Danio rerio: one gene and its partners. The protein of the gene in region 1 interacts with the protein of each later gene in a pairwise test. Links are inferred from orthologs where the notes say so. Each region holds a gene or a part of one and is shown in the gene's direction. Other genes may lie near its edges. The genes, in order: rnf11b, rabgef1, stam2, wwp2, rnf168, si:ch211-202a12.4 and smurf1.

Evidence for each region.
Region 2: the proteins of rnf11b (region 1) and rabgef1 interact in binary tests that used the Homo sapiens proteins (3 or more experiments, as listed by UniProt). The link is inferred for Danio rerio from reciprocal best matches to the Homo sapiens genes RNF11 and RABGEF1.
Region 3: the proteins of rnf11b (region 1) and stam2 interact in binary tests that used the Homo sapiens proteins (3 or more experiments, as listed by UniProt). The link is inferred for Danio rerio from reciprocal best matches to the Homo sapiens genes RNF11 and STAM2.
Region 4: the proteins of rnf11b (region 1) and wwp2 interact in binary tests that used the Homo sapiens proteins (3 or more experiments, as listed by UniProt). The link is inferred for Danio rerio from reciprocal best matches to the Homo sapiens genes RNF11 and WWP2.
Region 5: the proteins of rnf11b (region 1) and rnf168 interact in binary tests that used the Homo sapiens proteins (3 or more experiments, as listed by UniProt). The link is inferred for Danio rerio from reciprocal best matches to the Homo sapiens genes RNF11 and RNF168.
Region 6: the proteins of rnf11b (region 1) and si:ch211-202a12.4 interact in a two-hybrid assay, tested with the Homo sapiens proteins (3 studies listed by BioGRID and IntAct, with this or other methods). The link is inferred for Danio rerio from reciprocal best matches to the Homo sapiens genes RNF11 and UBC.
Region 7: the proteins of rnf11b (region 1) and smurf1 interact in binary tests that used the Homo sapiens proteins (3 or more experiments, as listed by UniProt). The link is inferred for Danio rerio from reciprocal best matches to the Homo sapiens genes RNF11 and SMURF1.

The regions. Positions count from the first base shown.
Region 1 is NC_133183.1:18,241,609-18,245,739, reverse strand, and holds the start of rnf11b (RING finger protein 11b), read left to right. Parts: upstream 1-1,331; 5' UTR 1,332-1,759; coding exon 1,760-1,882; intron 1,883-4,131. UniProt on the Homo sapiens protein: Essential component of a ubiquitin-editing protein complex, comprising also TNFAIP3, ITCH and TAX1BP1, that ensures the transient nature of inflammatory signaling pathways. Promotes the association of TNFAIP3 to RIPK1 after TNF stimulation.
Region 2 is NC_133185.1:37,879,354-37,883,612, reverse strand, and holds the start of rabgef1 (rab5 GDP/GTP exchange factor), read left to right. Parts: upstream 1-1,459; 5' UTR 1,460-1,469; intron 1,470-4,259. UniProt on the Homo sapiens protein: Rab effector protein acting as linker between gamma-adaptin, RAB4A or RAB5A. Involved in endocytic membrane fusion and membrane trafficking of recycling endosomes. Stimulates nucleotide exchange on RAB5A. Can act as a ubiquitin ligase.
Region 3 is NC_133184.1:39,775,757-39,778,412, forward strand, and holds the end of stam2 (signal transducing adapter molecule 2), read left to right. Parts: intron 1-647; coding exon 648-849; 3' UTR 850-2,156; downstream 2,157-2,656.
Region 4 is NC_133200.1:37,280,467-37,284,631, forward strand, and holds the start of wwp2 (NEDD4-like E3 ubiquitin-protein ligase WWP2), read left to right. Parts: upstream 1-1,365; 5' UTR 1,366-1,377; intron 1,378-1,956; 5' UTR 1,957-1,981; coding exon 1,982-2,051; intron 2,052-3,558; coding exon 3,559-3,715; intron 3,716-4,165. UniProt on the Homo sapiens protein: E3 ubiquitin-protein ligase which accepts ubiquitin from an E2 ubiquitin-conjugating enzyme in the form of a thioester and then directly transfers the ubiquitin to targeted substrates.
Region 5 is NC_133190.1:4,313,128-4,317,335, reverse strand, and holds the start of rnf168 (E3 ubiquitin-protein ligase rnf168), read left to right. Parts: upstream 1-1,408; 5' UTR 1,409-1,488; intron 1,489-4,208. UniProt on the Homo sapiens protein: E3 ubiquitin-protein ligase required for accumulation of repair proteins to sites of DNA damage. Acts with UBE2N/UBC13 to amplify the RNF8-dependent histone ubiquitination.
Region 6 is NC_133180.1:42,862,212-42,866,399, forward strand, and holds the start of si:ch211-202a12.4 (polyubiquitin-C), read left to right. Parts: upstream 1-1,388; 5' UTR 1,389-1,454; intron 1,455-4,117; coding exon 4,118-4,188.
Region 7 is NC_133178.1:39,720,208-39,724,387, reverse strand, and holds the start of smurf1 (E3 ubiquitin-protein ligase SMURF1), read left to right. Parts: upstream 1-1,380; 5' UTR 1,381-1,598; coding exon 1,599-1,653; intron 1,654-4,180. UniProt on the Homo sapiens protein: E3 ubiquitin-protein ligase that acts as a negative regulator of BMP signaling pathway. Mediates ubiquitination and degradation of SMAD1 and SMAD5, 2 receptor-regulated SMADs specific for the BMP pathway.

The DNA.
Region 1 (4,131 bases):
TTTTGTCTTTTTTTTTTTTTGCCAAATATGTGAGAACATGCAAACTCAACACAGAAATGCCAACTGACTTTCTTTTTTGAGCTTTAAGGGGGCTTTTTTAAAGAGTTTACCCAGAAATTAGTTAAAGAGTTATAGTCTTGACAGTAATTAGTCGCTTTCAATTTGATAAAGTGTCAACTAAAAATAGTACCATTCAGAGTGAAATAAAATGTTATAAAACATCTATATCCACCAATTATTCTTATTCCTCTGAAGTTAAAACATTGGAATGGTATTGTCTAAATAAAATATATAAACACATACAGTTAAAGTCAGAATTTAGATTTTTTTTTCTTTTTTTAAATTTTTCTGAAATTATGTTTAACAGAGCAAGTAGATTTTAACAGTATGTCTGATAATATTTTTTCTTCTGGTAAAAATCTTATTTGTTTTATTTAGACTAGAATAAAAGCAGTTTTTAGTTTTTTAAAAACCATTTTAAGGTCATAATTACTGGCCCTTTTAAGCTATTTTTTTTTTTTGATAGTCTACAGAACAAACCATCGTTATACAATAACTTGCCTAATTAACCTATCCTGCCTAGTTAACCTAATTAACCTAGTTAAGCCTTTAAATGTCACTTTAATCTGAATACTAGTTTCTTGAAAAATATCTAGTAAAACATTATTTACGGTCATCATTATACTGTCATGTTATTAAAGATAAGTTATTAAAACTATCGTGTTTAGAAATGTTGAAAAAAACTCTGATAAACAGAAATTGGGGGAAAATATACATAAGGGGGCTAGTAATTCTGACATGGCATATCTGTAATTTTGAACGATTGTCATTGTATGCTCTGAATGACAACATGTTTATTTTACATTTAAGAAATTTCAGTAAAAATCACTGAAACAATCAGTAGCTAGCAGGAAAAAAAAACGGAAACTGAGAAATACGAATTCCCATATGGTATTTAAACAAGAAAAGCAATGAAGATATGAAAGACGACCCCTTTTTCTCCGGATTAACTTGGATGGATTTTTACCTCCGAATTGCACTTTAATCATCATGACATCGATTTGGTTATAATGTAGTAGTCACTCAGTTTAGTTATTCCTCCAATCTGTTCTTCAGGGGAAAGGGGAAAGTCGTGCGTTTTATTTTTCAAACTGACAATTTTACAATTGAAGTGAACTATGCCTTTAAATCGGCCTAATGCGGTCAAGTTTAAAGGCTTTAAACCCCTGTTGTTGGTGTTGTAAGTCTGCAATCTAATTGGGTGACGAGTATCCACTAATAGCGCCCTTACTACTGAAGACGCCTACTGATTGGTGGATTCTGTGCGGAGGCGGGACTTAGAATGACTGCCTGAAAGGCAACATTGCCTGAGTCGCCATTGAGAGCGAGCGCATATTTGATATTGTGGAAATTATCTCCTGGAAGGCTAACCAGTGTGTTTACTATTAAGACGAAGAGAAAGGGACAGCATTACATAAAGAGGCTTTAAATCAAAAAGACGTGTTTCACAGGTTTAGACTGTGTGAATTTATACAAACATCGTTTCATATCCGCGTATGACACTTTTTCCAGGCTTCTTTGTGTCGACAATGGTTTGTTTTTCTCCGTCAGGATCTCTCATGGTGATCGGATCGTTGTAAATGAATGATAGAGGGTTTTGTCGTCCTGTTTAAAGGGACAGAAGTCTGGTTGGAGTGATTAAGGGCGGAAGGGATAGGAAGGATTTCAACATTTAGACAACAAGGAGTTTGGAAAGGAGATGGGGAATTGTCTGAAATCTCCCACTTCGGATGATATCTCCTTGCTCCACGAATCCCAGTCAGACAGGGCCAGTTTCGGTGACGCCAACGATCCAGATCAGGAACCGCCACCTCCGTATCAGGTAAGCTTATAAAAACCATTAGAATACACAAAGAAACTTTGCTTTTGACTAATATAACGTGCCTTGTGTCCACCCTCCTGCTTCAATCATAACATGAACACTCGCAATTCATAATATCAAGCAAATAGACGTAAATATATCACCAACAGCAAGCTCCCGCAGGAGCTCCATCTGTTTAATTTCGCCCTAGAGTGTGTGCCATACTAAATCCTCTTTGTTCGACGTAAACTTGGCCTGCAGTTCACGTCAGACCATCCAGACAGATGGACAGTCTGTTATTTCATCTTTACTGCCGCCTCCGTGGCGTGTTGATTCACCAGCAGCAGCTTTATTGCGATAAAGGTAACCATTCTGGTTGTGACGATTCTTGTTTGCAGTTGTGACGTCATGTCGATGTTATTCTCCTTGCTCGAGTGTTACACAAACCTTTTAAAATATTCTGTTTTCTTCTCTTCACAGACTGTAAGGGCAAACTATATGTATTTAATTTAAATATTACTAATACTGATGTTGTACACATACACAATGTTACTACCTCACTATATATATATTTTTGCAAACTTCCGGGAAGAGAGCTTAAAAATGCTTATAATATGACAATGGGCTGCTCTACATTGTCCTTTAGTCAGAAGTGTTGGGAAGCCTTGCACTCGGGGATTTCCCCATTTTACGGACATGTGGAATCAGTTGAGGTCTAAGTCATGAGATCATGATATTTTAAAGTGATGTCATGCTTTACAAAACATAGTTCAAATGGAAGAACTGGGTTGGCCAGGGTCTTTTTGTTGGATGAAACAAACCATGTCGAAGCAGATAAACTTGTGTAGCACCGTAAGTGAACGTTTTATGTCCAGTCACTGTGTTTTGTAAGAAGCAACATGACTCAGAAGATGTCTGATCTGAAATGTTTGCAACTGTGGTGGCTGTTACATCCTCTTGTTGTGTTGACCTTATCTGTTTTACAAGAACTCTCCAACAAACTGATTGAGGTAAAATTGGTTTAATATTTAGACATTCAGACTTTCGCATTAATAATATAATTTCTGAAAATTAGTCTTTGCAAATCCTAAATAGTGAAATTATATTAGCAGCCAATGACTATTGAAGTACAACATTGTTCAGAGTCAAATAAGTAGTGATAATGTTGTTTAAAGTCATACTTGCGTGTGATTTCAGACCCAATGTTCAAAGTACCATAGTAAACATTATAAGAAGTGTGTCACAAGTAAGTTGTCACTGAAATAATGTGCAAATACAAAACCAACTTTACATTTATAACAAATAATAGTGAGCCGTTGACCGAAGCACAGATAATCTTGTATGCATCTTGAAAGCACACACAGTAATTTCCTCACAACTGATGTGACATAATATAATCTTATTAAGCAAAAGGAACATTCTCTTCAGTCTTAGTTTCAGTTTTTTTCAGCTGAAGGTGGGACGTTAAGTGCTGGACTACTTTCATTTATCAGTTGTGCTAACATTGTTGTCCAATTCATACATTCAAAACATGATTCAAAAATACACATATCCAATTTGTAAGTTTGAAACACGGTTCAGGCGAAGCAGTGGCGCAGAAGGGAGTGCTGTCGCCTCACAGCAAGAAGGTTGCTGGGTCGCTGGTTTGAGCCTCGGCTCCGTTTCTGTGTGGAGTTTGCATGTTCTCCCTGCGTTCGCGTGGGTTTCCTCCGGGTGCTCCGGTTTCCCCCACAGTCCAAAGACATGCGGTACAGGTGAATTGGGTAGTCTAAATTGTCCGTAGTGTATGAGTGTGTGTGTGTGAATGTGTGTGTGGATGTTTCCCAGAGATGGGTTGTGGCTGGAAGGGTATCCGAGGCGTAAAAACTTGCTGGATAAGTTGGCGATTCATTCTGCTGTGCGACCCCAGATTAATAAAGGGACTAAGCCGACAAGAAAGAAATGAAACACGGTTTAAAAATACACAATATATGAATTCCAAATATGATTTAAAAATACACTAATCCAACTCATACATTTGCAACATGATGTAAAAATACACAAATCCAATTCGTAAGTTAGAAACTTAGTTTAAGAATACACAATTCATACATTCGAAACATGATTCAAAAACACATGTCCAATTTGTAAGTTTGAAACACGGTTCAAAAATACACAATATATGAATTCCAAATACGATTTAAAAACACACAAATCCAATTTGTAAATTCAAAACATGATTTAAAAATACACTAATCCAATTCATACATTTGAAACACGATTAAAAAATA
Region 2 (4,259 bases), on another chromosome or scaffold:
TGTCACAGCCATGCTTCTGATAATCCTAACTGAGCTCAACTTTGTTGCTCAATCCGATGCATATTTGTTCTGTTGTACATTTGATGAAGACAGTTTGTATTGCATTATTGTACTGGCTCTTATTGTGCTGATAATAAACCATATATTTTGCAATCTATTAAAAGCATTTGCCACATATTTTGAACGCTATGAGATTGTAACTTTATAAAAAAAATTTAATGTTTTTGTAATAGTTTTTTTTCTTTCTTTTTTATTATTGGATTCAAAAACAGTCAATAATAGAGTGCAGAAACTTGGAACATTAGAAAAAAATGTTGTTACAATCTGTGTTATACAGATAAGAAAGAAGAAGAAAAAAAAAACTTTTTGACTTTTAAAAGACTTTTTGTTTTTTATGCTCATTAAAAACAAAATATATGACTTATAGTCAATTTAAAAAATAGCCAGAAAATGATTTCCCCCCAAAACTTTACACATAAATTTACAAAAAACTTACCCATTATAATAAAACGATTAACAATGTACTGAATGCAAGATTTAGAGTTGTAATAAAAAAATATTACGCCAAAAGTATTTAAACAAATATCAACATTTGTCTTTATATGGTTCGGTCCAAAATAATTTAACAATTACATTCACAAGAAAAATGCACAATGATTTCTTCCAAGTCACAAAATATACTTTTGTTTTTTTTAAATATCTTATGTACTAATTTTTTTGTCTTTCAAAAACAATTTAGGCCAAACTCAATCCAAACATAATTTTGCACAAACTGACTAAGACATATCAGATATACAGTGAATCAAATATAAAGCCATAAAATTTACACAAAACAAAAAACTTATACAAAATACCTTGCAGACATCACAAAGAAACCATGTAAGGGGTTAAATAAAACCATATTCTTGAAACATATCATACAAATGTCTAGCCTTCTCACCCTTCATTACTTTTTAAAGCTTCTACATGGGTGGCAAACTCCCCTTTAAAGGCAATCAATTGAGGAGCTGTTTTCAAAATTTTGCATTTATGAATGAAGAATTAAGGTAAAATAAGTAAACAAATTGCAGTTAGGTCATCCTCTTTGATGTCCAAATGTACTCCAAATTCCACAATAATTGTTCCAACAAATAGAGGGAAACATTGAAATATATAGTTTTACCCAGTTGTCTGTTTTCAATATCTTGCATATATTTACTCACCAAACTATTACAAGGATAGCATCTATTTGAAATTTTATATGTAATTTATTTTACTTTGTTATTTAGCAAATACTTATGTGGAAGATTCCAAGTAACGTCTCAATTAATGTTATATGTGGACAGCCATTTAAAAGAAGAAGCTGGAATTGTTTTATGGTTACGTTTTCGTGAATGTTGACATTTCGAGATCAGCCCAGCCAGTGTCCCTCCCTCACCAGTCGCCTGGATATGACGTCGTTGTGACCCGGAGAAGAGACCGCTGACGAGGTACACGTCCTCTGTATTAAGATTAAACACTGTATTTTGCCATTCATCTCTTAAATATGTTGTTTTGCCTATTTATAAACGGAAAGTTGCAGAGTTATGCCATATACTGCCAACCAAGAGTTGCGTTTGTTTTTAGCCACGTAGCTGTTTTGCTAGCTTGATGTGTTGACTGCCTGCGGCGGGTTGAATGACATTTTGTTATTTTCGGTAGATAAAATATGCCTTATAAGATTAGTTTCTGCCCGCATGTTAAAATAACCAGACAAATAATTAAGTTACCTCAATTTACTGGATTTAAATGTCAAATAAGACATACAATTCTTAAATCAATATAAGTCAATCCAATATTACGCTGAGTTTAGTGTCATCTAAGTTAACTTTAGCTAATCAAAGTTTGTCCTTAAAGTATTTATTCATTTAAACTATAATAGATGTTTAATTGTTTCATTTTCTTTTTGGTTTGTTCTACGCAATTGGTTGATTGACATCAGATTTATTAATCAAGTTACTAATTTATTTAAGAAATTATTGACTTTAGCTTAATATTAAATAATCAGTAAAACTATTTATTTCCCTCCCATTTACCTCTGAAATATCAATCTTAGTTTTAATATGGTAGTATGAATATCTCATTACTTTCATTTTCATTTGTCATGCTCTTTAAATGACTCATCTCGTTGGCAGCAATGTTGATATCTGTGGTTGCTCTGCAAGTATTGTCTGCAGAGCAAATTGTGTAATGTAACTCCTGTTGACTTGCTTCATGCATGTTTAGTTCACAATGCCAGTGTTCGCAATAGCTTCATTGTACATAACCTTCCAGAATAAACAACTGTGTCAAATTCAGTCGCCAAAGAGATTATAAAGTATAACAGGTTAGACTTTTCAAAAGGGACTCATTGTTAAATACTAGTTAATGCATTAAGTGTCATTATCAGTGAGTAATAGCTACATTTATGAACTAACAATTGGAATCAGAACATTTTCAATCAATCTCAGGCATGTCATAGGCCAGATTAAAGTGAATATATTTGCGTTTGGAAATAATGACCTGTTCAGTCTTCAGCATTTGGGCGCATTGATGAACATCGCAGTAAATACCACAATTTGAATTAGGGTTGCACGATATTGGGAAAACTGACAGTGTTTTGTTTTCCTGTGATATTAAGTTAATTTCACCGAATGAAATGAATAGCTCCATTTGAGAAAAAAAAATTAGATGTTTATCAGGATGACTTTGTAGGGAAGTGTATCTGCATAAAATATAATAAATCAATCACAATAATTGATAAAAACAGTAGAGCAATGATACACATGAAACACAATTGTTGTCTGGGAGACTAGCAGTGTTCAGGTGCAGAAAATGAATAAGCAAATGAAAACGACACTATTGTCTTAATTGTACATAAGCTCAATTCATCTTTCTTAAAGTTAAACACATTTTTTTGTGACTGAATATTTTAATCTCATTTGAAATGGTCATACAGTCTCAGACCTTAAAAAACTATACACTTTTAGGCAACTTTACCTTACAAATAATACAAATGAGAAAAGAAGTATCTTTTGTGTTTTGAGTTTTGCATGCACTAAGCACTTTATTTCCACTTTGTACTAATAAAATAAGATGGGACTGAAAGTATCTAGGCAAGTAATTATTAATATTTGGATATGATACTTCTGATGGACTATATAAACTTTGCAATCACTCCAATAATAACATGTATTCTCAACTGTTACTTGCTTCTGGTCAAATATAACCCTGACTGGACATTACAGATCTTGTGATGTTACTATTGTGGATACATAAATTGGGATATCAGTGCTGAAAAGATACATTGTGCAACCCTAAATTGAATATTCTTTTTTAAATAATTTTTTTATTTATTTATGTATTTATTTTTTTATTGACAGTTAACAAACAAAAGTAACAGAGAAAAAAATATATATATAAATTTATCAGTATAAAATTGATTAAAAGAATAAAAATGAACCACACTATAAGCCTAATATTGTGCAACAAACAGTATATGATGTGCATAAACAATATATGATGTGCATTCATTTAACAAATTAAACATACAAAAGTCAGTACCGAAAGTTGAGATTGGCAGCATGGTGTATTAGGTAAAATTAATAATGATAATAAAAGAAAAAAGAAAAAAAATTAAAAGAGCAAGAGAAAAGGGGATTAAACTGAATATGCTAGGGGGGTGGCACATTCTTTAAACTTGCGGTTTTATGTCTGGAAGAGTTTTATGCTTGTGCTACATCAGGACTAGTACTCATCTGGAAAGTACAGACTAAAAGAGCAAGATTTTCAACCATTCATTCGACAGTACCTGCTTCAAGTTTCAGAGATTTGACATGCTCCATGAATGGCAAATAAATGTTAGAAAACTTGATCACTGGACCTTGACTATATTTATTTTTTTCTAATTTAACAAAAATAAGGCATCTTTAATCTATTGAGTATGGTATGGGGGTTGAGGAGACCTCCACTGCTACAAAACACACCACCTAGCCAATAATGACAGAAAAGCTGCTAATTTAGAAAAATAAACGGGTAACTCACAGTAAGGGAGTAGAACTCCAAACAGGCCATCGGAAAAGGATACATTTGAACAGATGTCATTTCTGAAAATGAATCAAAAACAGACTTCCAAAAAGGAAACAAGGTCCAAAACGTGAACTAGATTTGCAGGTTCAGCCTGACATATGTCACAGTTTGGATCAATAGCTGGGAACATGCAACTCAGTTTACACTTAAACCAGTAAACTCTGTGGACTACT
Region 3 (2,656 bases), on another chromosome or scaffold:
AATTATGAGTCATAACCTACCAATTGACTTTGTGTGTTGATTTGCATTATAACAAAGTTTTCACCTGCATTTAGGAAGTTATGGGTAGGAACTATAGTCTCACTCTGGTGTAATAATCAAGACATTTGCTGCCATGCAGCCGGCACAATGATATTACACAGTGCTGTTACCTAGTTATCTAGCTGGGGACTATTTTCAAGTGCTGTGTAATATTATTGTACCTACAGCAAAGTTCCTTGATTATTATGCTGGAATATGAGTATAGTTCCTAGTTATTTCGACCTAGAAAATAGCAACTTTTAATTTTCCATTGGTCTTCGTACATGATTGAACTCCACAAAAGTCAAGTTTACATTGGAAAATTTACCGAAATTCAAGTCTTTTTTTTTTAACATGATGCTAATGGTCTAATCCAATTAAATGATTTATGCTAAGCTAAGCTAAAAGTGCTCTTGCCAGATACAGATTTCAACTAAAGTGATTTAAAAATAGTAAAACTCAATTGTTTAGCTCTATTTGACTTGTAAAATCCAACTATTTCCAAAAACAGTGGAGTGTTCCTTTATTAAAACACTAGAGAACTGGTCAGTTCTATGATTCTGAATGTGGTAAAACCTCAATAACCACTTATTGTTTATTTATTACAGTGGCCCAATGAATGCACCATATGTAAACCAAGCCCCTGGAGGCCCCACCCCTTACCCGCCACAGATGGGTGTGGCTATGGACATGTCAGCCTATCAGAACGCTAATCCTGGTCTGCCTCCCACCTCCTATCCAATGTCAGCTCCGGCCCAACCTGCCCCTCAGCAGCAACAAGCGGCTTTCTACCAGCAGCCCCTTTTATAAGGCTACATGTTTGACTATTCAGCCATAAATTTCCAAGTTTAAATTCCAAACGTTGAAATGAGGCCGAGGGTATTTTTCCTCTCTCATGCATATTGATGTCAAGGGGTATGCAAAGATTTACTGACATATGGCGTCAGCGGACAGACATGTAATCCTCTCGAAAATGCATTTATTTTTTTCCCCTCCCATTTACTAACTCATGAAGCGGTTTAGGGCTGTTGATGGAATCGGTCACAATAATCATAGACAGCATTTTCACCATCTTGTGATAAACACCAGCATATGTGACTCTTTCTCTGATTGCGAATTAAGATATAATGGTAAAGTGCGTACATCTTTAAGACTTTTGATTAATTGTTGCCATTTTTCCTTTGTTTCTGGGTCAGCCAATCCTAAACTTTAATTTCTTGCTCTTCGATAGCAAATGTGAGAGTTTTATAAATAAATATCACCATGCATTATGGAGAGGACAAATGTGTGAAGAAGATTATACGTGATCACCAAATCTGGAATGAATTTCTGTGCCAATACACAGAGCACTTGTGTAAACTCCTACAATCAGAACGACGGTTTTAGAGTTCGATGTTTCATGTAATATTTCATCAATTGCTTTGGTTAAGAACTGACGGTGGTCACAAATGCAATCCCTTTATGGTCAATCCATATGTTTCGCTGTATAATGATATTTATGATATGCAAGTACTGCTTGTGTTTGCATTGTGGGTGTTTGCTGTTGTTTGACTTAATTTAAGCGTGTAAAAATGCATACGGTGTAATTCATCTGGTCTACAATTTTATTCAGCCCGGAAATGAATTAATTGTCGTTTTCCGATTCTTACGTATGTGCTTTCTCACCCATTTCTTCTTGCCTGAAATGGGAAAATGTTTGATTCCTTTATAGTCCATATAGTCAGCTTTCATTCTCATTCATTTTGGATTAATGTAGTAAAATATAAATAAAAAATGTCTCTTTTCATAAACAGATGTTGTATATTAGATGTTAAATATCTGGCTGTACCGCACCTTAACTTTATAAACATTTATTTACCACCAGATGCCTTGTTCTTTCACGAAACAAAAATAAATGTAGAAACCAATGCGGAGAACTTATTTCAGGAGCTGCTGTATATTTGTAAACCTGTATGTTTAAGAGATTTAGAGGGAAAAACTATTGTACTCATGGACTCAATGTTTTGTAACATCAAGATTTCTTTATATCCTGCCTGCTCTTTTTTTTTCTCAAATTCTTTTTGTAACACGGTGAACTCTTATAGTCTTCAGAAAATAAAAACTACCTGTGTTTCAAAGGTTGCTTTTTGTATTGATTCAATTCGGAGATGCATTATTTATGCATTTTTATTATATACAGTTAAAGTCAGAATTATTAGCCCCCCTGAATTATTAGCCTCCCTCCCCGTTTATTTTTCCCCAATTTCTGTTTTAACGGAGAGATTTTTTTCCAACACATTTCATAATAGTTTTAATAACTCATTTCTAATAACTAATTTATTTTATCTTTGCCATGATGACAGTAAATAATATTTTACTAGATATTTTTCACTACACTTCTATACAGCTTAAAGTGACATTTAAAGGCTTAACTAGGTCAATTAGGTTAACTAAGCAGGTTATAATAGTTAGGCAGGTTATTGTATAATGAAAGTTTGTTCTGTAGACTATTGAAAAAAATATATAGCTTAAAGGGGCTAATAATAAAACCAAAAGACTTTCTCCAAAAGAAAAAATGTTATCAGATATACTGTGAAAATGTCCTTGCTCTGTTAAACATCATTTTGGAAATATTTGA
Region 4 (4,165 bases), on another chromosome or scaffold:
CAAGATTAAAAGATCCATGATCTGCCAAATCATCTTAGATCATTTAAGCGAGGTACGAAGAACGGACCTCTGGACTAGCGGAATTTCGGATGAATTTTAGTTTTAGTTCCGTATTGGCTTCCTGAGGGAGAGCGGGAGGTTGCCGCTTGATTACACCCGGTCCACGTACACTGATTGGCTCACAGCTGTTACTGTTTCCTGTTAATTTCCTGGACTATTTATACAACCATTTCACCTCTGTTTGTCACAGCGTCGTTTGTCTTCCTTGTCGTTCGTGGCCCCAGTTCTAGTAAGTCTTGCTACCGAGTTTTTTGATCTTGTTCTTGTATTTTTTTGCTAAAGTCTAACGTTAGTTTGTAAAGTTATTGTTTCTGAGCCTTGTCTCTGTTTTAGTTTCTAGTTTGGTCATTTGTTTGTTACTTTGTATTTTGATCACCTTGTTTGTTGCACTGTAAACAAATCTGCACTTGGATCCGCACCTTTTTGTTTTTGTTCCTGTTTTGATCACGCTAACGTGACAGTTTTTAAATTACTGTGAGGGTTGGGATAGGAATAGAGGGTAATAAAATCAAATTTAATTTGAAAATCAAATTCAATTTATCAGTCATTTATTAAATAACTATTTCTCCTTATGATTAGTGTTTTTACATTACTGTGAAGGTTTTGATAGTTGTAGACGTTAACGAAACACAATTTAACCAGTAATTGAATTATATTTCATCATAATGAATAATATTTATCGCTATAATTAGTGTTTTTACATTACTGTGAGGGTTGGTGTAGTAATAGACATTAATAAAATAAAATTTGAATAATTCAGTAAATAGAGTATTTCTCCTTATAGCTAATTACTGTTTTTACATTACTGTGAGGGTTTTGATAGTTGTAGACATTTAATAAAACACAATTTAATCAGTAATTGGATTATTTCATCATAATGACTTTTTTTATAATACTGTGAGGGATGGGAAAGAAATAGACGTTAATAAAATAAAATTTAATAATTCAGTAAATAATTTGAGTACTTCTCCTCCTTATAATTACTGTTTTACATTACTGTGAAGGTTTTGATAGTTGTAGATGTTAATAAAGCACAATTTGATCAGTAATTGAATAATTCACATAATTATTTCACCATATAATTTGTGTTTTTACATTACTATGAACGTTTTGATAGCTGTAGACGTTAATAAAACACAATTCAATCAGTAATTTAATAAATAACACCATTATTACTCCGCCGCAGCTGTATCCCTTCTAGCAGCAACCTGATGCTACAGAGGATCCGCACCCATGATCCTCCACGGCGAGTCACATGACCATGACATTAAAGCGGAAATGACAGTTAGCGCTCCACAGTCTCACGGCGAATAAAAGGTAGGAATCAAAACATTTCCGATGTGTTTTTATAACCAGAAAGACGGTTACACTACGTATAAACCTATCCGCGTTTATAACGCGCTTTTCCAGGACGATTTCAACTACACCGCGACTTTTTATTCCTGAATGACGAGCGGCTAATCAAACAGCGTCACTGTCTCTCACATCATGCGACATTTAACCACACATTACGACCGGTCACGATTATTAATTCACCTCATATGTTTTTAATTCTGGGTGGACACATATGGTTGGTTATAACCAGCTGTAAACAGCAATTTAGGCTAAATTCTTGGTTTGTTTTTGTCTCAGCTAAACCAGAACCTGCTATATGAAGCTGACAGACGTCGAATATCGCTGTATTATATTATTAAACCAATCACTGTAGCTTATTTAATCTATTTAGGTGATTTCTGTTATTAATTTGATGTTGATTTAACAGTATTAAGCTGTGTGTGTGTGTGTGGTGCACCAGAGTGTTTATGTTGCGTCAGAGTGTTTATGTTGTGCTTTATTATACCCCAATGATTAATATTCAGCATTTCAGTCATAATTCTGATGCTGTTTGTGATTCAGGGCTGTGATGTGATGTGCTGTGACGATGGCAGCTGCCAGTGTGTCTCAGTCTGCCAGCATTCAGGCCATAGAGAAATCACAGCTGACCTTGAAAGGTAAGAAAAGCTGATTTATTTGTGATTAATCTGCTTTAACTTGATTAATAAGGAGATCTGATGAATCTTTTGTGGTTTATCAGCTGCTGTGACGCATCAGTCTGCAGCATCAGACCTCAGCATGTGTTTTTGCAGTGAGCTTTGTGTCCTCTAGAGGGTGATGTGCGCTGAATAATAACTGCATAACTGTGTGTGTGTGTGAGAGATGCTGGATCATGTCAGGACACATTTGCGCACATTTCCTGGTTGATGGAATATTCCTTACGGGAATCCAGATCATAAATGTTTCTGGTGAATTGATGGAGTTGTGCATTCTTGGCGCTTATTAATGTGTCGTAAGTCTGCCTAAAGGGATAGTTCACCCCAAAAGTAAAAGTTTCCTGTTAGTTTACTCACCCACAGACATCTTTGATGGTCTTTGGCGACTCTTTTTACTCATTAAAGAAGACTTTTTCGCTGAATCTGACTCTTGGTGATTTTTATATAATGGCAGTGAATGGTGACTGGTTTTGGAGATTAAAAATGAACACTTACAAACAATTCTAAATCAATAACCGTGGCTCCTGAAGACACGCTGAGGTCTTGTGAAGCAAAGTGATCAATCAGTGTAAGAAATTAAACATTATTTATAAGATTGCTATTATTAACTTTGATCCACAGCCTGGTCAAACAGATATCGGCGCATGTCTGAATGTAGTCCGACTGTTGTCTGTTTGTAATGAGCGGACTACATTCACATGTGCATCGAGACCTGTTTAACCAGACTGTGTCAGGTTTTTGTCCTTAAACTGCTCCTTTTAGTTCTTTACGCTCTTCCAAATCCGTACCAGATCTCATCCAAAGCCTTCTGTTGTGTTTTGATGTGATTTTTGACCATCGTAGCTGTGAGATGAAATGGCTGCTATCATTCAGCGTAGTGATACAGAGCCGTAATTAGGTTGCAGATTATTAAAATGTCTATTTCAGAGGTCGCCACAAAATGAACCCCCAGTTTCAGCATATGTTTTACGCAGTGGATGCCCTTCCAGCTGCAACCCAGTATTGGGAAACACCCATACACTCATTCACACACACTCGTACACTAAGGCCAATTCGGTTCATTCAGTTCCCCTATTGCGGATGTGTATGGGGGAAACAGGAGCACCCGAAGGAAACTAATGCCAACTGACCCAGCTGGGTCTCGAACCAGCGACCTTCTTGCTGTGAGGCCCCAGTGCTAACCACTGAGCCACTGTGCTGCCCTTTTTAATTAATGTTTATGATTGTTTTGTTGATTTCCAACACTAACTGTATTGCACCCAAAACCTGCCGGAAGCACTTTAGCTGTGTGTTTATTTGAAAATAACCGCACACCTCAGAATGCTCATTAGCCAATGAGAATCAAGCATTCAAAATCCCTGGAGTATATGTTATATTTAAGTCTTAAAACTTCGTGTTCCCTCAATGTTCTCTTTCTCACTGAAGTTGTTTTGATTGAAGTGTTCATCGTCTTCTCCTCATCTGCTAGTGTTGTCTGCGAAGCCTCAGTCTCCTAAACTGCCCAATCGTCACTCTCGCCTGAGTTCATTTGTGGAAGTGACCGCCGACGGCCTGAGCAGCGAGACCAAGAAAACGGGCAAACGCAGCGGACACCTCGAGCTGCAGTGGAATGAAGACCTCACACTGTAAGCCTTCACGCGTCACTTTTCATTGAAGAATATAATATTTAAGAAGTGCCATGAAAACTGATTAATTCATCATCATGATGATCATTTTAATAACTCATTTCTAATAATGGATTTATTTTATCTTTGCCATGATGAGAGTAATTAATATTTGACTAGATATTTTTCAAGACACTTCTATACAGCTTAAAGTGACATTTAAAGGCTTAACTAGGTTAATTAGGGTAACTAGGCGAGTTTGGGTAATTTGGAAAATTATTGTATAACGATGGTTTGTTCTGTAGACTATCACGAAAAAAATTAGCTTAAAAGGGCTAATTTTGTTCCTAAAATGGTGTTTAAAAAAAATTAAAACTGGATTTATTCTAGCCGAAATAAAACATAAGACTTTCTCCAGAAGAAAAAATATTATTAGACATACTGTGAAAATTTCCTTGCTCTGTTAAACAA
Region 5 (4,208 bases), on another chromosome or scaffold:
TAAGTATTGCTTGTTGGGTATTTTAAATTGAGAAGCAATTCGTTTTATTTGATTTTTTTATATATGTTTACTGTTGCTCTAAAGTCCACAAGTAAAGAATTTAAGTTATTACTTGGATGTTCAAGCTACCTCACAGAAGTGCTCTGTTTGTTAACAGAGTTGTTGAATGTTAAAATAAGGTGAATTAAATAAAAAATAAGGAACATCCTTGATCTGCTTCTTCACTTCTTTATTCTTTTTTAAAGTATTTATTATGTGTTTTTGGATAGGGTTTTGGTATCGGTAGATAGCCTACTATTAATCAAATGACTCGGACTTGAGGGCAAAAACCCTAATCGGGACATCCCTACAAAATATGATGGAAAATTATGTTGTATATAACTTATAAAAATTGTGGGCCGCAAGACTCCCTGGGGCCCTAAGCGACTGCTTACCTTGCTTACTGGTTATATCTGCATCTGTTGACATGGTCCTTATATCGTTTACCATTGTACTTTGAATATTTGGTTAAAAACAGCATGCATGACTTCAAAACAACAAGCACTTTTTAATTGGTCATGAACAATGTTGTATTTAGATATTCATTGGCTGCTAATATGAATTATTTATTTAGAATCTCTAACGAATACCTGTCTGAAAAGGAGAATGTGCAAATGTAAAATGAATTTTACCTCAAATTCGACCAGCCTGGTTTTACAGGGGTTTACAGGATCTGGTCTTAGTTGGTCAGGCTGGAAGACTAGCCAAAACCAGCTACGTCGTCCAGCTTAAAGCAGGCTGGTAAAGCTGGTTTTAGCTGTTCATTCCAGGCCAGAGATGGCTATAACCACCCTAAAACCAACTAACCAAGCTAGTTTAAACAAACAAAAACAAAAAAAAAATTCAGCAGGGAAATGTGGCCTTACGCAATGTAGCCTTAAGAAATTCTTTAATAATATTAAAGAAAAATAAGATTAGTGTTTGAAATACTACCTATAATTACAATCAAAATTTAAATCAGCTCGTTTATATTGTCTGCGTTTCATGCTGTTATAAAGTTTTTTTTAATACTTTTTATACTACTGAAACTTTTAATATATGGCTGTAAAACGTTTTTAATCTTTCAGGTAATGCGTCATGAAGCCATACCAAATACGGAGCGAAGGCTTGTTATTATTTAACCATTTATTGTATGTTCTTCTACCGGCTGTATTGTATGTTTTTTTTTATTGAATGCTTGAAAAACAATAACAACAAATGTCATGAATCAAACAGCAACAATCCAGGGGTCTTTAGTCATTTAGTCCAAGATGAGTGTCAAGTCCTTAATCAAAGTCCTCAAACAAGGTTGGCTGTATTGTATGTTCTTCTACTGATCTAATCCAAATGAAACAGCAGTGCTTTTATTTTGAAACACTGTCTTGTCGTTGCCGCCCATGGTTTCACACGCGCGGGCAGTAGGGCGCAAAATATTCCCGGGATTTTGTGGCCTTGTGAGCAAGAAAGCGCGTAAGTGTGTAAGATGTAAAATTTCTAATTGATCACATTACAAAACCATTCATTAAACTACGTATTGTACTAACAAAAGCAATCCTTCAGTTTAGCCTCACCGTCATCTCTACAGAAACAGCAGTTTGGTCACTGCTAGAAAGTTGCTAACTTGCTAGCCGTCCGATTAGAATTTGTGTTATAACTTGAAAAAAAATTAACTTAAGATGTAAACTGATGATATAAATTACCTTAATATATCAAAGGCACGTCGTTTGGTCAAAACTGCAGAGTTTAACGTTAATGACACGTTAATCATGTCTGAGAACTGTCAACTAGTCGATGTAAACATTAAAATCACATCAGATTTGACGTAATTATATTAATTATGCCAGTAATATGAATGTGTTCGTTGAAAAAAATGTAATTGCTAGTTTAACTAGTTTACTGTCTAGTTAACTAGTTCATAACTAACTACCTTACTGTTTAATACTTAGGTTTACATAATTTTTTTATGAAAACTGTTTAAATGTTTGAGTATTCATTAGGTTTATTACAATTTTCAATCTCTATATTCATTTCATAAAACATGTGTGGGTCAAAAATAAGACTTCCGCTTATTGCTGTTGGCATCAAGTTATATTTAAAAAGGACTTTTATGTGTAAAAGCATTTTAAATAATGGCAAAGTATTAACTGAGTTATTTCAAATAACTTTAAAGACAAAAAAATATATAAATTTGTATTAAAAATCGTCATTCAGCGTAATGGATATGTTTATGTAAAAATGTAAAACTTCTGATCTGTAATAGTGAAAATACAGAAAAAAAAAACTCATAGTATTTGAAAACATTAAAAACTTACTGACAAATGGGTTGATCCTGGTGATATGAAATATAATTTTTGGAATTTTGTTTGTTTGTTGATTACTTTTTACTTTGTTTTTTAAATTCTTGTCACGCTGAATGACATTTTAGTGGGTTTTGTATATAAATGTTAAAAATATTGTGTCCATACATATTAATTAAAAAATAATTAATTTAATTAGTCACAATCTGAAGTAGGGCTGCACAGTATTTAGAGTTATATATCTTTTTTTAAAATTTAATTACCTCAGGAAATTATCTATTACCTGCTTATTTTAGTATGACCAGACCATAACCTAAATAAATATATATTTTAATTGCTGATAAAATAAAATTTTGCAAGCTAGTTTAGGCCTGTCACAATAATCACTATATTGACTTACTGCACAATACATGGACATGACCTCAATCATATTTGTTGATGCGATATATATTGCCCATACATAAAAGTCAAGCAACATTTCTAGCTGATTGTGCGATTTCTCCATCTCTATTGGAGGTGTCAGTGTTGGTATGGTAAACACTATAGTATTTACTATAAATTACTTTTGTATACTTCCATGGGTGCCTGATGATCAGGGCCAGACGGAATCTGCGGACGTTTTTTGCTATCTCTGCGGAGAATTTTGGTAAAAATCTGTGAATTTCAGCGGAATTGTTTTGAGAGTATCGTAACTAAAACCTTAATTAGTTAAATAAAAAGTAATACCTTTTTAACTTTTATTTAATGTTTAAATTGCAAATCTAATTAGATTCACTTTATTTGGTAAACAAAGCAAGTCTCTCATATATAATATATCTACTAGATATAATATATCTACTAAAAGACAGAAAATATTACTTTACAGACTGTATTGTACATAAATCAAATGAACATTTTCATATTAGTCAATAATATTACTGTAATTAGTTTAAAAAAAAAATTAGATTTACACACATTTACTTAAGTAAATAAACAGACTTAATGATGGGCTAAAAATCTACAGAAATCTGTGGAATTCCGCGAAAAATCTGCGGAATTCTGCGCGCGCAGATTCCGTGTGGGCCTACTGATGACTGAAAATAGATGCTTCTTTTTTCTAGATCTTTCTACCTTGCAATTTTTTTTCTTAACATCTATTATTATTATTTATTTGTTTAGAATATTCAGTTTCACATTCTGATTCAATGCCTAATTACTAAATTGTTAAAATGACTATATTTAAATGAAATATCCTTGAGAATAAAATGAGTGTACGTGCATTGTGATGATATTACAGTGTCAAAATGGTCTAAACGTCACAATACTATTGTTTATCATATAAATGTTGGTGCTATATATCGTACCATACACACACACACAAAAATATTGTGACAGACATAAGCTAGTTATAATATGAAAAATATCTCAATACGATATCACATATTATAGTATCGTGCAGCTCTAATCTGAAGTGTGAAAAAGAAACTAAATTTAAATATATATTAAACTCATTTTTGAGCTAAATTACATATTTTTACCATGTGAAACCTGCTGTACCTTGACAGTCTGTGAAGTATTGTAATTCATTTCTAAATACAGAGTTTATCAAGCTCATCCAATTTCATGGCTCGCAAAACTGCTAGCCACATGTCCAGAGGCTATTATGTTTTTCAGTCGGGCTACCAAAAATAAATCTACCCTGCTCAAATGTTAATGTGCGGACAAGTGCAGCCTATTTTAATTCTTTTGCATTTTTACAAATTGGTTAATTATGTTGTATGTAGTTTTCATTTTATCGAGGAACCGATATCAATATATTTCAACTGGTGTCAAAAAAGTGGTGCTAAGTTTATAAAAAATAAAACAAAGTTTTAAAAAGCCTCACATCATTTTTTTTCAGTGTCAATAAAAACA
Region 6 (4,188 bases), on another chromosome or scaffold:
GTGCAGTATTTATGGGTTAAATATATTCTAACCATGTGTAACTGATAGGAGAGACATGGGCATTCTAAACGAGATACATTGCTCTCTGAAGGGCACTTCGTAGTGATAAAATTATGGCCGCCATATTGAAGTGTCATTCAAACTGAAGTGATCAAAAGCCCCCCTAGGAATAAATGAGTTTGAAAAATAAAACCGATGAACATTTTGGGAAATTATCCTTTGAGCAGGGAAGCTGCTTGGTGTCAATTATCATTTAATTATACTTTGGTGGGAAATTATCTTTTGAGCAGGAAAGCTGTGTGGTTTTCCACACTACACTCAATTCGAAAGGACTCATCCCTATGCGCTAATCTCTTTAGAGGAACCCTCTGAAGGGATTAGGGCATAGGAATGAGCCCTTCAGATTGGAATCCATCATGTATTTTTTTTTGTTGGTGGTTGAGAAAGTGCATTTCTGCCACCTATAGGACTGGAGTATGAAACTTGGTTGGGGGCTTAAAAAACTGTAACCACTTTTAAACCTAATTTTCCAGTCCGGAGACATTCAACAATCCAGATGACACCTTAATGATCTCTTTAATGTGGTAATTCTAATGTGTGATTAACACTTTACTCAGATTTCTTTCAGTTATTTTTCAGAATAATTCTATTTATTCTCTCTTGAATTATGTAATTTGTTATTAAGCATTTTTATGACAGTAACTTGTTTAATTTTTTACACAAACTTTTTTGCGCTGTATGACCAATGTATAATCTTGCAATTATCACATTTTTATTGTTTGCTCTGTTTTCCACGCAAATGTATCCTTATAAATGTTTTTTTTTTTGTTCTCCCATTCTTCTGCCTGCTCACTTTACTCAGCTGTACCCTGAAGTTAATATCAGGGTTCATTATTACCATACACAATCAGTTTCTTTTAAGCAACCAAAACATCCACTGGAACCCACGCAACTAACTATAATTCATATTTTATAATGCTGTATAATCTCTGGTCCTGTAATACGATGTATCTTTCCAGACTGTTCTATTTTTGTTTATACAGTATGTCAGTTCTTCTCTTTGCCTGGTCTTGTCTGAATCACCAATAGCAAAGCGAACAAACACTAAACCAGCCAATCACTGCCTGCAGGTTGTCCTACAAGTCCAGCCCATTCCAGCACATTGTGGAAACTTCCTTTATGGGTAATTTATGATTAAATTATACGTTTCAAATATTGATACATAACTTGTATTTATTTTTAAAAAATCAAATAATTCCATAGTTTTAACATTTATTTTAATTTTTCAAACGAAAAAAAGGTTTTGACTACTAAAAGACCCGCTCACGTGACATGAGAACGTCACGCTGTTGGGTTTGTATAAAAACAGTTTCACTCGCTTCATCGGCTGATTTTTCTGCGAAGAAGAGAAGAACTTATTCACTTTCAGAAGCAGTTTCAGCGATATTTATAAGGTAAGAAAGCTATTCCAGTTCGATTTAGAACCTTCATAAAGACCTTTAGGTATACTATTATTGATATTTCGTCATTCCTGTTTATTGTATTGATTTTGGCGCTCATATCCTCGACATCCTAACTAAATGTAAAGAAGTAATTTTACAGTCCTTAATGCTTTGACTAGAGTAATACTCATACGATGTTATTTTCCCAAATTGATACGTTTGCTTTTTAATTGTTAAATTGTTCAATGTCGCAGTTTGTCAGATTAAATTATGCTGAGTCATGGCGCTGTATGAACAAAGAACCCGGATATTACTGTACAGCGGCCATGTTTGTTGTTGCGCATTACCGTTTTTAAATGATGACATTGTGCAATTTTTTAATTATGTAACTTATTGTTTTATGTAATTTAGGAGGTAATGTTAACATAAATAACTATTTCGATATAGTGTATGAATGAAATTACAAGTTCATAACTCAACTTTTATTATATTTCTAAAAAACAAACATTTTTAATATGTAGGACCAGACGGAATCTGCGGGCGTTTTTTGCTATTTTTGCGTAGAATTTTGCTAAAAATCTGCGGATTTCTGCGGAATTATTTTGGGAGTATCATAACTAAAACCTTAATATATGAATTTAAAAATAATATCTTTTAAACTTTCATTTAATGTTTAAAATGCAAATCCAATTAGATTCACTTTATTTGGTAAACAAAGCAAGTCTAATATAATGTATCTACTAAAAGACAAAGAATCACTGTACAAACTGCATCGTATATAAATCAGATGAACATTTTCATACAAGTCAATAATATTACTGTTATTAAAAAGTAAATAAATATAGATTTACCCACATTTACTCTAGTAAATAAATAGAATTAATCATGGACTTAAATTTGCGGAATTTTGAGTGCACAGATATAGATAGATAGATAGATAGATAGATAGATAGATAGATAGATAGATATAACCCCCGTTTCAATTTTAACTATTTTCTGTAAAGCTGATTCTGGGTTAATGTAGAGTAGCTTTTACAAGGCATGCATGTCCACGTAATGATTTCTATTACCTAGGAGACACCCTTAAGTTATTGTCTCAGGTAAGAGGAAATCACCCCTACAGGGTTGTGCTCTATAGAAAAACTTAAGCTTGAAGCATCTGGATTGATATTGGCATAAAATAAAGATTTTAATAATTTGCTAATATGCTAATAATAATTTGTCACAATGTGACAATGTCCTTGTTCAAACTGTTAGGGTAACTAACATTTACTCTATTCTTCCAGTTAAACAGGCACTTTCATGTAATTTGATAAATTAACATGTTGTAAATCCAGCATCCCTCCACTAACATGGTGGCACCCATGATCATTATTAATCTGTGAAATGGAAATGGATGCGTTTGTATCATAATATTCATTTATCAGAATATGATATTTTCTAATATATTTAGGATGTTAACCAATGTTTGCATAAAATGACAAAATAAGTGAGAAAATTATATACATAAATCTTCAGGGCTGCAATGTCACATGATAAACTTGATGCATCGTCATGGAAGTCTCAAAGTGAGAAGTTTTAAATTATCGTCAGATTAATAAAACATTTAGTGGGGGTCAGAGAAAGATTTAGAACTTGTGTTTGTGAAAGGATGAGCTAAAATCATTCTGTATTGTAATAGATGTGCTAACACATTAGCCCTGCCCTGAATTAAGCCTATGCTCTCAGATTGACAGATACTATATGTGGTAGGAGGGTTGCACGGTTTACCGGTACTATGGTAGCATCACGATACTGTGGCTTCAAAATACTGGCAGTGCCACTGTAGTTTGTAAACGGTAGTATCTTCATTACCGGTCTATCTATATTATGTAGTGTTGCTTGTGAAAGTGATTAATGCTCACACATATGTGCATCAATAGACCATTTTATTTGAATAGTCTGTGGAGCCCCTTAAGGTTGCATGTTTTTTAACATTTCAAACGCACACCTGAAGCGGTTCATTCTGTTTCTGGCAATGTGATTTAATAGCTACAGCAACCGCAGCAATCTCTTAAAAACAACTTAATGTCTTAAAAAAATATTTTTAATTACTTTGGATTGTTCCCTGATAAGGCTGAAAAAATAAAAAAATAAATGGAAAAACCCAAAATAGTAATATTTGAACAACTTTTGACCACTTATATTTTTCATCACTTTCATAATTTTTTTTTTAAAAATGCTCTTTTCGTAACAAATTCCATTTTGTTTATTTGTATCTTTATTCTAATGTATTTTTTGTTGATCAGTTATCTACAAAATAAACAAAGTATAAATAAATTTTAGGTGAAATAGTGTGCAAATAATACTTATTTCTTTAATTGAAATTAAATTCATTTAATCATCATTCATTTAATGAAACTCAAGTAGACCTATTATAACATATAAAATATAGTATTTATGACAATTTTCCTTATAATTTGAGTTATGAATTACAGTATGGCATTACTATATGGTATCGTGATACTTCAGCTGGTATAGTATTATAACGTGAATTAATGGTATCGCGACAACTCTAACATGTGGTGTTCCAAAAAGATTTCTTTTTGAAGATTTAAGGTAAAATCTTAGATCAGTCGTATAAATCTGTACAAATTTTAGTCATTGCTAATCTTCTTTTGATAATTTGTTTACAGATGCAGATCTTTGTCAAGACCCTTACTGGTAAGACCATCACCCTTGAGGTCGAGCCAAGTGACACCATTGA
Region 7 (4,180 bases), on another chromosome or scaffold:
ACCTTACATAATTAAACTGATCAGTCAATACATTCTAATGTTTACATTTATGTCAATGTTTCATCTTCAGATGTACCTCATTAAGCCACGTTGCATCCCACACAATGAACTGATTTAATTAATTGCATTAATATGTATTTGTTTCCATTTTAATGAGTCTTCAGATCAAATACATTTCATTATTATGCCAAGAGTACAATGGCTCTCTGCTCATTAAAGTGGTGACGGATTGAAAAAGGCCAGTGTGTGGCCTGCCACCCTCATTAGCCTGCTGTTTACGTGGATTGGCTTTTCTTCTGCACAACACTATTAAATGGCTCTATTGTTTCCAGTTGCTAAAGTCCTCCAATCCAATCCCTTCCACTATTGCTCAGGCTAACCTTATTTGCTTCTACAACGCGACAATTATCAAGCCGCAATTAATGCAATCACAATCATGCAAATGTAATGGAAATCATCTGCATCCATCATCTCATTATTTATTACTCAAACTCAAAACAACAACCTCTAATGCTAATCAGGTCACTTAAAATGTTATGGATGCTGCGAAAATGACAAACAAATTCATCAATCTGCCCCAGATCCATGCAGTCATCTATCTATCTATCTATCTATCTATCTATCTATCTATCTATCTATCTATCTATCTATCTATCTATCTATCTATCTATCTATCTATCTATCTATCTATCTATCTATCTATCTATCTCTACATTTATCCATCCATCCATCCTTTCATCCATCCTTTCATCCATCCATCCATCCATCCATCCATCCATCCATCCATCCATCCATCTATGCATCTATCCATCCATCCATGCATCTATTCATCCATCCATGCATCTATCTATCTATCTATCTATCTATCTATCTATCTATCTATCTATCTATCTATCTATCTATCTATCTATCTATCTATCTATCTATCTATCTATCTATCTATCTATCTATCTATCTATCTATCTATCTATCTATCCATCCATCCATATCTATCTATCTATCTATCTATCTATCTATCTATCTATCTATCTATCTATCTATCTATCTATCTATCTATCTATCTATCTATCTATCTATCTATCTATCTATCTATCTATCTATCCTGTATTTATTTTATTAATAAATCCTTTTTATTGTTGTTTAGATCTATCTAATCTTAATAACATTTGGTCTACTTAAAAAATACATCAATTCACTTCAGCTGACGTGGCTGGAAAAACACGCAAAGCACGAAATTTCATAGCATAATTCGAAATCAGGACACACATGACTAATATCCTTTTTTACATCACACAACACAAACGGACTTCCAGCGCCAGGAAGAAGAGCGCGCGCACGCCCAGCCGCGGGTACGTGCACGTACAGCTGTACTAACGTGATGTCAGAACGCCGTTGAGCTCAAAAAATGTTAGCCTGTGTTGTTAAGTCTGAAAGCTACAGGGGATTTGCCAGACGGAAATAATACCGTTTTATCGCCGAGAAACACATGCACAGGCCACACGATCGCGTCGCGTGTTTTTATACGTTTTTATATCCTCGTGAAGCGAGCGTCTTGGGTTTATCCTGAGAGAAAGTTCGTTGGTTTTTTTGTGGGAGTGATGTCGAATCCTGGGACTCGAAGGAACGGGTCAAGCATCAAAATCCGACTGACAGGTAAAACACCCTCTAATACGCTAATTTATCGCTTTAATGTACTAATTTGTTGTTAGTTATCATTTTATACGTTTGGTTAGCTTATAACTGTGTGTCGGTCGCAAATGTGTGTAAAACGCTAAGCGAGGATCCTGCTAGCTTCTGCTGAGGCGAGTTGCTGCAGCCCTGTCTCTTCATGCTAAACGCATGCTAACACGAGAAGCATCCCTTTTTTATTTAATAAACAGCACAATAGTCAGTGGACCTGCTTTATTTGCACTTGTGTGAACGTTATCAGCCGAAAGCAGCTCCCCGTGCACAGTTTGTTAGGTTGGATTAGTCATAAATCAGCTGAGTATAAACCGGATGAGGCAGAGGCAGCTGTTTTCTCGGTTTCCCCTCATCTGGACGCCAGTGTCTTCGTTGTAAATTAAGATTTTAATACGTGACAGACTGTTCATTAATGTTTTGCTTATTGCGCTGTGCTTGCTTTCGGAAGTAAGCTAACTATGGGGTTGATCTTTATGTGATAGTGTACTGTTTCACAATCCACAGATGGGTTTTTTGGGGGAGGATTTTTTTCCTTACTCTTTTGAAACCGCTCTTTGCTTGGAAACGAACAGGATATGATAGATGCATACTGATCTCATTGATATCATCACAGACATAGTGACAGTGCCCTGGAGGAGTGCTTTTACAGTTGCCTTTTTATTTTTTTAAACCAGATCTGATGTTGACTTATCAGTGCCCTTTAAAGCGTTTGTGGAATAGGAAGACTGGTAAACGCCAAATGACAAGGTTATGTGGTTTGCATTTTATTATAGACTCAGTAGAGACCAGATTAAACGTTTTATTCTTTATTCTTGTATATTAGATTTTAAAAGTGAAGTTTCATTTGTAAATGTTAATGCCCTTCATTTATATTGAGCAGTGTGTTTGTTACAGTGGTTTGTTGATTTTGGATGTAGTAATGATGTGTACCCTTTGTGAAGCTGCTTTATTATTATAATTATTAACGAAGTAAACTTGAATTGAACCGTTTTTATCTTTTGTTTACAGAGTACAACAGTTCATTGTCAATGTTAGCTCAGAGACAGCTTTAAAATATACAACTTTTGCAGTAGTTTGGTAAATGCTGAAATGAACGTTAATGCTCTGCTGCGGTTCAGTCATTTATTTTCATATTTGTCTTCATAATGGTATGAAAAACTAAACGTTTTGGCACATTACCATTAACACAAACACACAACAAAAGGAAACAAGCAAAAATGTGATTATCATGATAAGAAAGTGTTTTTAAAATGCAAATGCTTGTGGTGTTTTAGTCAAATATAACCACATCAGATATAAATTATAAATGAAGAAAGTTTATTTCACATTAGATGATATCTTTCATGATATAGTTTTATTATGAGGGTAGTTATTCCAGAGAATTTACTAAAAGGTGTGCAATAAATAAGCTTTGTGAAATAACTAAGCTTAAATATTTAAGGAAAGAAGATGACTCAATCTTGTTAGATTATTTTTGTATTTTATTTTAACTTTACTATAAATATTGTAAACCAAATATAACTTTTAATGAACGAATTACACTCTCACATTTTCACAGTTTTATGTGGACAGACCTTATTATTATAAACATTTCACACATCATCTTCTGATACAAAACTATCCTATGGAAAAAAAAAAAACTTTATCCCTATAACTGCCTGCTCTACCACACGGTTGACCATCTTTTTACTGTTTTAAATAATCACCGTTAAAGTCATTTTAAAGAGAGTTTTAAAGAATGGTTAACACAATACAGCATTGTTGGTTTACAAAGAAAAAAAGAAAATCCTGTCGCACCACTTCGGCATACATCAAAAAAATTCATGTGGTATTCAAAAATGTTTATTTTTTTATATTTTAAAATATAAAATAGTCTTAGACTTTATACTTTCATATTTTTCATAGCATATGAATTAATTTCTGTAGTTTTACTATAAATTAACATTTCTACCATTTTTGTACATGTTAATATTGTAGAAATTATGGGATTATGGTAAGTTTATGGGGGAAAAAATTGATTTAGTGTTTTAACTAGCGACATTACGAGTTAAGAAATGCAATCCAAAAATATTTTTCTTGGTGGGCGGTTAAAAGGTTAAGGAAATATCAAACTGTTTTTTTTTTATTCCTTTAAAAATGCAAAATAAAAACAATTCAAGAGTTCAGATGCTAAAACCTCTATGCGCTGTCTGAAATGTCCATCAAAAATAAACTTTTATTTTTCAACCTCCTTTGTTTATGTTGAATTATTTTACTTTAAAGACCATAAAAATGACTTATTTGCTATAAATGTGTTTATTACTAAACTTACACACAGGAGCCTGAAAAAAATTCTCAGTTTGAAAGAAAATTTCAGATGGCATTTTCTAGGTTCTTGCATTTGAACTCCTCAATTACAATTCATGGATAAATACTGAAACTAAGTGATCAGTTCTCGTTGAAAAAATTAAGCGATTGGCAACACTGCCAGTCTCCCATGTAGTGTCTTTCTTGGCCT